Linked DNA regions of Kluyveromyces lactis. The protein of the gene in region 1 interacts with the protein of each later gene in a biochemical or structural test. Links are inferred from orthologs where the notes say so. Each region holds a gene or a part of one and is shown in the gene's direction. Other genes may lie near its edges. The genes, in order: YKU80 and YKU70.

Evidence for each region.
Region 2: the proteins of YKU80 (region 1) and YKU70 are reported together in a solved structure, tested with the Saccharomyces cerevisiae proteins (4 studies listed by BioGRID, with this or other methods). The link is inferred for Kluyveromyces lactis from reciprocal best matches to the Saccharomyces cerevisiae genes YKU80 and YKU70.

The regions. Positions count from the first base shown.
Region 1 is NC_006038.1:1,104,008-1,107,900, forward strand, and holds YKU80 (ATP-dependent DNA helicase YKU80), read left to right. Parts: upstream 1-1,322; coding exon 1,323-3,152; downstream 3,153-3,893. Other genes in the region: PMU1 (putative phosphomutase), read right to left, coding at 1-247; SPG4 (Spg4p), read right to left, coding at 359-742; KLLA0_B12694g (uncharacterized protein), read left to right, coding at 3,689-3,893. UniProt on the Saccharomyces cerevisiae protein: Single-stranded DNA-dependent ATP-dependent helicase. Involved in non-homologous end joining (NHEJ) DNA double strand break repair. DNA-binding is sequence-independent but has a high affinity to nicks in double-stranded DNA and to the ends of duplex DNA.
Region 2 is NC_006039.1:549,443-553,259, forward strand, and holds YKU70 (ATP-dependent DNA helicase YKU70), read left to right. Parts: upstream 1-1,240; coding exon 1,241-3,019; downstream 3,020-3,817. Other genes in the region: palmitoyltransferase PFA4, read right to left, coding at 1-603; NGL2 (RNA exonuclease), read right to left, coding at 3,051-3,817. UniProt on the Saccharomyces cerevisiae protein: Single-stranded DNA-dependent ATP-dependent helicase. Involved in non-homologous end joining (NHEJ) DNA double strand break repair. DNA-binding is sequence-independent but has a high affinity to nicks in double-stranded DNA and to the ends of duplex DNA.

The DNA.
Region 1 (3,893 bases):
AATACCTCTCCCATTCCTGTGTACCGTATTTCGATTCAAGTGCATTATGGTGACCTTGACCGTGTCTTGCCAATACCAACAACTTCAAGGACGAATCCTCATCCAACAACCTTTGGATATCTTCCCAACCACTACATCCATCAACAAATCCAAGATGTTGTCCTTCATCACCACGATGACTCAGAACGTTTTCATCACCAAAACTGGTGAAATACCCTGGAACGGCACTGTACTTTAATCTGCTCATGCTATTATCTCTTTATTATTACTGTGTGTTATACTGTGTCTTAGTTACACACAGGGTTTACTTACTTGTTGTAAATCTTATAAATATATACTAATAGTGGTGTGTAGTTGATTAGAAATTGACCTTGTTGTTAGGTTCTCCTTTACGAAGCATACCGGGATTGATTTTGTTATATAAAGCTTCAAACTCTTCTCTAGTCAACTTCGATATGTCTACCATCTGGGGCATGGCCTCCTCGCTGACACTAGACTTTCTGGAGGAATCGGCAGTATTTGGATCGTTGACCAACTCCACTTTACCAGCCTTCACGTCTGCTGCTAGCGCAGCTGCAGCTGCTTCCTTCTTTTCACCTGTGCTGGGGCCCCGGTATTCACGAGCGAACATGTAAGCCGTCGTGGCTCCCGTGTTCAAGCTGCTGCCACCATGTGACTTAAAGTCAGCTGGTGCGTGTTTGTTCTTGTTGTATACTTCAAAAGCGTCAAAGAATCGTGACATGTTGATTGGTTGTATTGATGATCTTAGTTGTGGTTTGCACTATAACTGAGCTCTACAAATCTATACATACCATGGGCTTACTCATCTATTCTCACTTCGCTGCCCTCTTATATATAGTCTTGACCCCCATCTTGGCCTAGACCCAGATCAGAGATCATGCCTTTGCCTCCCTGGTCATGTAATCACTTGTTACTAATCATTTTAGCCTTTCAAAGGGTATATGTCATTGTACCCTTAATTTAAAGCTTACTACTGATCAAGACATTGGAGAGATAAGCAATTGAATTATCGTATTGACTACTTGTCCCCTGGTATTCTTGTATCCTTGTTATCCCAGTGTTACGGGAAATTAATCAAGGAGTCGGGATATAGAGGGCGAAACACTCCTCTTTTACCCCACTTAGCTAGCCTCAGTGTGTCTCCTTTATCCCAATATTAAAGCCTTTTGCTATTAGACTCAGTGTCTGGAAACAAGATATCACCAAATTGGGGACAGAGACCAAATACAACCAGCACACGTGAATCTTAGCTAAGCCTTAGGGGTACAGAAGGGAAGTCGAATTATTAGCTCTAAGACCCGATGTCCGAACTGACGTGTTTCGTTGTTGATGTTGGTTCTCTTAGTGGTGACCAATGGTTAAAGGCTTTTACATATGTGGAATATGTACTGTTGAACAAAGTTCAATCTCAGAGAAAGACAGATTACGTGCAATTAAATCTAGTTAATGTGTCATCCAGCGATGAGTCGTTGCCCGTGAATAATATGGCCATGTTGCCCGTGTTACCACGGGCACCAATCTCCATCTCAGACGTTAGAAGTTGGTTGGGACAATGGTACGATGAGAGGAATAACACTACTGGCAATGGAGAGGATGACGATGACGATATGTTGTTCAATGGGCTATTGATCAGCGTGTTAAAGTTGAAAGAGTTTGTTGGGAAACGTAAGATGAAGGTTAAGATTGTGGTGTTCAGTTCGCAGGACTTGCAAAATGTGACAGATGAGGAATTGTCCACATTCGCTGATCAGTGTCCGTTTGATCTCGTGATAGCAGATTGCAATGACAAGCAAGGCCACCAGGAGTCTAAACATGGCAATTGGCTGAAATTAGGTACTCCGTTGGTATACGGTATCGATGAGCTTATTCAGTCTGTTGCTGACCCGAAATTGAAATTGACTAGGCCCATTAGGACGTTCCAGGGCCAGTTGAGGTTGGGTGACGTTAACGCATCAGATTTGGGAATACCATCGTTATGTATCAATTTGGAAGGTGTACCAGGTACGAAATCTGTGAGTTCTATTTCCAGGAAGGTGATGAGGAAAGAGGGTTCCTCAGAGGGGCAACCCACGTACCGTGCTGTTAAATCAGTTATCGAATACCAAATCGAAGATCAGAGCGCGAGTACGAGTGCATCCCCGAAGAAAGAAACTACCAGGAAGGACGATGATGGTGATTCCGGTAATAACACTGGACCCCGGATGATTAACGTCAGTAAAGATTTTATCAAGAAGGCGTACCGGTACGGTGCGGATTACGTAGACTTACCGATGCCATTAGACGAGGAACGGAAACTCTCCGAGAAACCGGGACTTGACATAAGAGGGTTTATGGATATAGATAAATTGCCAAGACATTACCTTTGTTCAGAGTCCATGTACTTAGTTCCCGATTCCAAGAACGGTTCTAAAGGTGATTTCTTAGGATTTGTCACGCTAGTAGATTCTTTAATCAAGATGAAAAGGTTGATCATCGCTCGGTTTGTACCAAAATTCGGTAACGAGGTACAGATGTGCTCTCTTTTCCCCGTTAGAGTGCACGATAAAGATCGCAACGAGGTACGTTTACTCGTATTAAATCGTCTTCCAATGAGTGAAGATGAAAGAAACAGTGCGTTCCCCAAGATGTGCGAATCTACCGAGTTGGAGCCCGAAGATGAGGCAATGGGCCAATTTGTCGACTCAATGAATCTGGATAATGATGCACAGGACTTGCCATGGTACGAGAGTGACCAGATACAGAAGTATACAGACGTGGCACTGGAGCAGTCCTCTTTGCCCCTACCACAACGTGAAATGTTCCGAGCCACTGCAAGAAACCCATCAGCAATCCCAGCTATCTCACTACATAGACAGCAGCAAGTGATCCTCGAGTGCGTTCATCAGAAGTTCATCGTTGGGAAACGGGATCAACAGGACTTAAACATCCCACCGATGAGCAAGATGATTCTCAAGAAGATTACTCCAAAATACAACGCTGACGTTTCTCTGTCGAACAGGATCAAGGAACAGTTCAACGTAGTAAAGAAAGAGGTGTCGGTACAAACACCAGTGAATATTGAACAAGAGTTTGAAGAACAAGACCCTGAATTGCTCGATTTGGACCTCTTATTAGCGCGCGGTGCACGCTAGCTAATTCAGGCACTGGTTACATAGTGATATCTATACATATATATATATATATGAGACTTCTGTATAAAAATGCAATTGCGGGATAAAACGTGGTGAATCGAATGGGTTACATCTCGAATGGCAACCAGCACCAGGCAACCCACGTTACGACGGCCCCTTGTCGTCCGCAAACCTGCCTTTTTCCCCATATTCTTCAGATCTCTAAAGTTCGTTTCCCTTCTTTCCATTCTCGACCACGAGATTTCCATATAAGCACAGAAAGAATTACGAGCCACAAGACGAAAAACCTGTTTTAAGGCTTGGCACAGAGATTTACAAACCAATTGATTGCACAATTAATATCATTCATCTTGAACACATTCACTTTGCATTATAAGGTTTCCTTCTGATAATAACATCTACTGATACTCACATCTTTTGTAACATAAAGGAGAGGATAGAGTATTGGCTATTGAACATTATAACTAAACGCAAAGAAGGAAATAGGTATCTGCTACCCCTATCTGAAACAACAACAATCAATAATAATAATAATAATGTCATTGAAAACAGTGTCTGTGGCTACAAATCCTTATCCAGATCAGAAACCTGGTACCTCGGGCTTGAGAAAGAAGACCAAGGTCTTTGAAGAAACTCCAAATTATACGGAAAATTTCATCCAAGCCATCATGGAAGCTATTCCTGAGGGATCTCAGGGTGCTACTTTGGTCATTGGTGGTGATGGTCGTTACTACAACGATG
Region 2 (3,817 bases), on another chromosome or scaffold:
TTCAATTTGTGTCATACCATGCAAACATTGGTTATAAATACACCTTCCTAGTAGTGAAGAAACTGTGAGCAATACAAATGCATCCATAGGAGTCATAATGCAGATAAAAATGATCTCTGATGTAGACCTATGATGAAAAGCCGTATGCCTTATGGACCAAAGTAGATAGATTCTTCCAATAAGGAGAAATAATAGGTAAGCAGTAGAGAAAATGACCCAGAATAAGAAGCGCATAAAATGGGGAAAGTTGCTGTGTCCAACACAATTGAGCGTCCAAGGACAATGGTGGTCCATTGCTAATACGCATTGATTACAGGTTTTACAATGATGGGCCCTTTCAGGCTTGTAAACCCGACACTTTTTACAGTAATTATGCCATTCTTCCGCAGACGGCTTAAAATCCTTTGGCGGTATACCTGGGTTGGTATAAATGGCCAAATAGTATGAAACCCAAATCATAGTTTGACATGTTTGATAGAATATTTGCTCATTCCATGAAAGAAAGTTCGAAAGAATGAAGTAATGAGATCCATACCCAATCAATGCAACAAGAAATGCAGGTATTGCAACGCCCAGCCACCGATTTTTCAATTTTATAGCCATATCGGTCACTGGATTATGATGCTCTTTTTGAACAAAAATGATCCCAGCGGTTGAGTGTTTGGTAACAATCCTGGTTCGCAGAAGATGTTTCAATAATATTTTCTTATTGGGGTTGAGGATTGCGGTAAAGATAAGGCTAGACGAGACTGATACCAGAATTAAAACTTGATTCTCAAACCCTTTAATAGCAGTCGTTTATGTAGATAACGTATCTGCCTGTAAGAGATATACATCCCATTGAATCTTTCATATCAAAACTGTATTATTTCGAACTAAATTTCAATGCTCTTGAACGTAGGGATATGACATAGAAGAATATATAAGTAAGTTTAAATTCATGATCCAAATCGTTAGCTCAGAATTAACGGACAATGCCATCCTGAACTACTATCACAGCTCTATTGCTAAAATCTATTCCCGGAACTAGCGAGCATGCTCAAAGTAAAAGTCATTCACGATCACGTGAATGGTGATAATTCTAAAATCAGGGACGAGATCCTTCATAGATAACCAAAGTAAATGAAGGATTCAAGGTTTAGGTTAAAATGAAAAGGGTTAGTGTAACCTTCACAGAACTGAAGATCTAAAAAGTGGGTTACTACGTCAGTTTTCGATAGAAAATTCCATTGCACCTAAGATGTCTTTCGAACAACCTGACTTTTTAAAGAGTCAATTGACTCAAACAAGAGACGATGATAAAGAAAGTGATCACAAGAAATGGAGACGCTACGAAGCACATGATGGTATCGTGTTTTGTATTCAGCTAACACCCACGATGTATCTTTCAAACCCTGATCTTGGAGGCAAAATTCAACTCTTAGAGATTTTAGATTCACTAAATGATTTAATGTCACAATTGGTAGTTGTTATGCCAAGTACTGCAGTTGGCTGTTATATTTACAACTGTTCTCATCCTAACGCTGAAGATAATGTGTATGAACTAATACCGTTACGTGATGTGAACTATAAGAATATGAAACGTGTATCTGATCTGTTGGAAGATATAGAACAGGATAGAATACTTCTCAAAGATGAGATTCCTATCGCAGACCCAAACAACCCAATTGAACTTTCTCCAGTATTGATCAAAGTTAGAGAAACATTTTTACAACCGATAGAAGGACAGAAGCAACTGACTAACAAGAAAATATTTTTTTTTACTGATGACGACAAACCGGCTGAGTTCTTGAACGTTGACAGCAGATCTCGTCTTAGAAAAGTTGTCGACGATTTATATGACTATTATATCAATTTTGTCACATTTTTCATTGGTTCTGAAGATAAACCATTTGACGATTCTATGTATGCAGATATCTTGAAATGGGGTTCAAAGATCAACGAAGCACAATCATGGCTATCCTCACACGGCCCTAGTACTAATCCCATTAATGCATCGTACATAAAATCGAAAGTGAAAAGAACAAAGGAAATCAAGAGAATCAAATTCCGATGCCCCTTGATGTTAGATGAAAGAGCTGATTTGGTAGTTTCAGTGAATGGATATACTATTGTCTCTCATGAGATACCCGGCTCGAAATACAAGCTTGTATATGCCAACGGTAGTGTCAGAAGAGAGGCATACTCTCACCGAGAATATTTAGACGCTGAAACTGGGGAAGCAGTTGATAATAGTCAGTTGTCTAAGGTCTACACTTTTGGCGATGAGATCATAGAATTAACAGAAGACGAGAATCTCAAAATTCAAAGCGGATACAGCGAACATGAATCATTTTTGAAGTTAATAGGATTCAGGTCAACGGAACAGTGTTTACACTATTATGACAACATTGACGTACCAGCTTTTGTTGTACCGAACGAGGAAGACTATGCAGGCTCGATCAAGACACTAGCATCACTATATAGAACAATGTTATTCAAAAAGAAGTCTGCAATGGTCTGGGGAAAACTACGGCCAAACTCTCCACCATCCATGTTTGTCCTAACACCAAGCTCCAAGAAAGATTATAACCAAGGTTTCTATCTCTACAAGGTTCCATTTATGGAAGAGGTCCGAAAACTTCCTGATTTCTTAAATCATTCTGCGTTAATAGAATCAGATGATTATAAAGTGATGAGCAAAGTGACAGAAACTTTGATAAACTTCTTCAATCTCAAAAATGGGTATAGACCATCAGATTTTCATAACCCTGCATTACAAAAGCATTTCAAAATATTAAGGGAATACCTTTTACAGATTGAGGTGGATAAATCGAAACCTGAAGATGAAGGTGATGAAACCCTTCAAAAGGTGAAGCAGATTTATGCACGAATTGCCAGTTCTGCGAAATCTGATGACGTAAAGCAACAACGGTTAGTAAAATACCTGAAACTTTGGAATTCTTTCTACAACCGTCTGAGTAACTTAGAAGTCGATACGAAACCCACCAAAAATAAGAAAGCAAAGCTTAATCTGTAGTGTAGTCCATAGTTAAACAGTTTATGAATATTTACATTATGATTCCCAGTTTAACAATCATGCACAAATGATCACTAGGATATTCACCTTCATGAGGTTGTCCATGCTCTGTCATTTCCTTGGCGGGAGGTATTCTTAGAAGCTCAAGAACTTGAACTCCATAATTTTGCTCAAATGTTGATAGCTCATCTATCTTAGTACAATCGCATCCATCCCATGATGTAACATAATACAAGTAGTCTAACAAACCTCTCCATGCATGTGCCCAATTAGATATTTCAGGTTCATTACGCTTGTTGTCCAATCCTGAGTTTTCAGGATGAACTTTCGAGTAAGCAATTGAATACAAGGATATAGCGCGCATGTCAATGTCATTATGAAGGGTTTTCATGTTCTCACATAACTGCTTTTGCTCTTCGTTGCCGGAAAAAGATTCTGGCACGGGGGTCTCAGGTTGACCTTTACCAAATTTTTCAATGTTGCCGCCTTCTTCTCCTTCTCCTTCATCCCCATCTCTTAGTTTAGAGAAGGTAAATGAAGTGCTGCACTCTATAACTGTTTTAGCCCTTCCGGTATATTCCACTGGTTTTGATGTGATGGACAAATATGGGGCATCAAACGGCTGAGAATTGAAATCGCCACAGAAAAATGCTGGCCAATGTGAATTATCACCGTCTTTTTCGTTTTGAAGAACGTTGATTCGATTCTGGAATTCTTTTACTTTTTTTAGTACAATATAGCATTGTCTTGTCCGTTCATATGTGCCAAATGGATGCCAAAACAAATGTGTGGTACCAA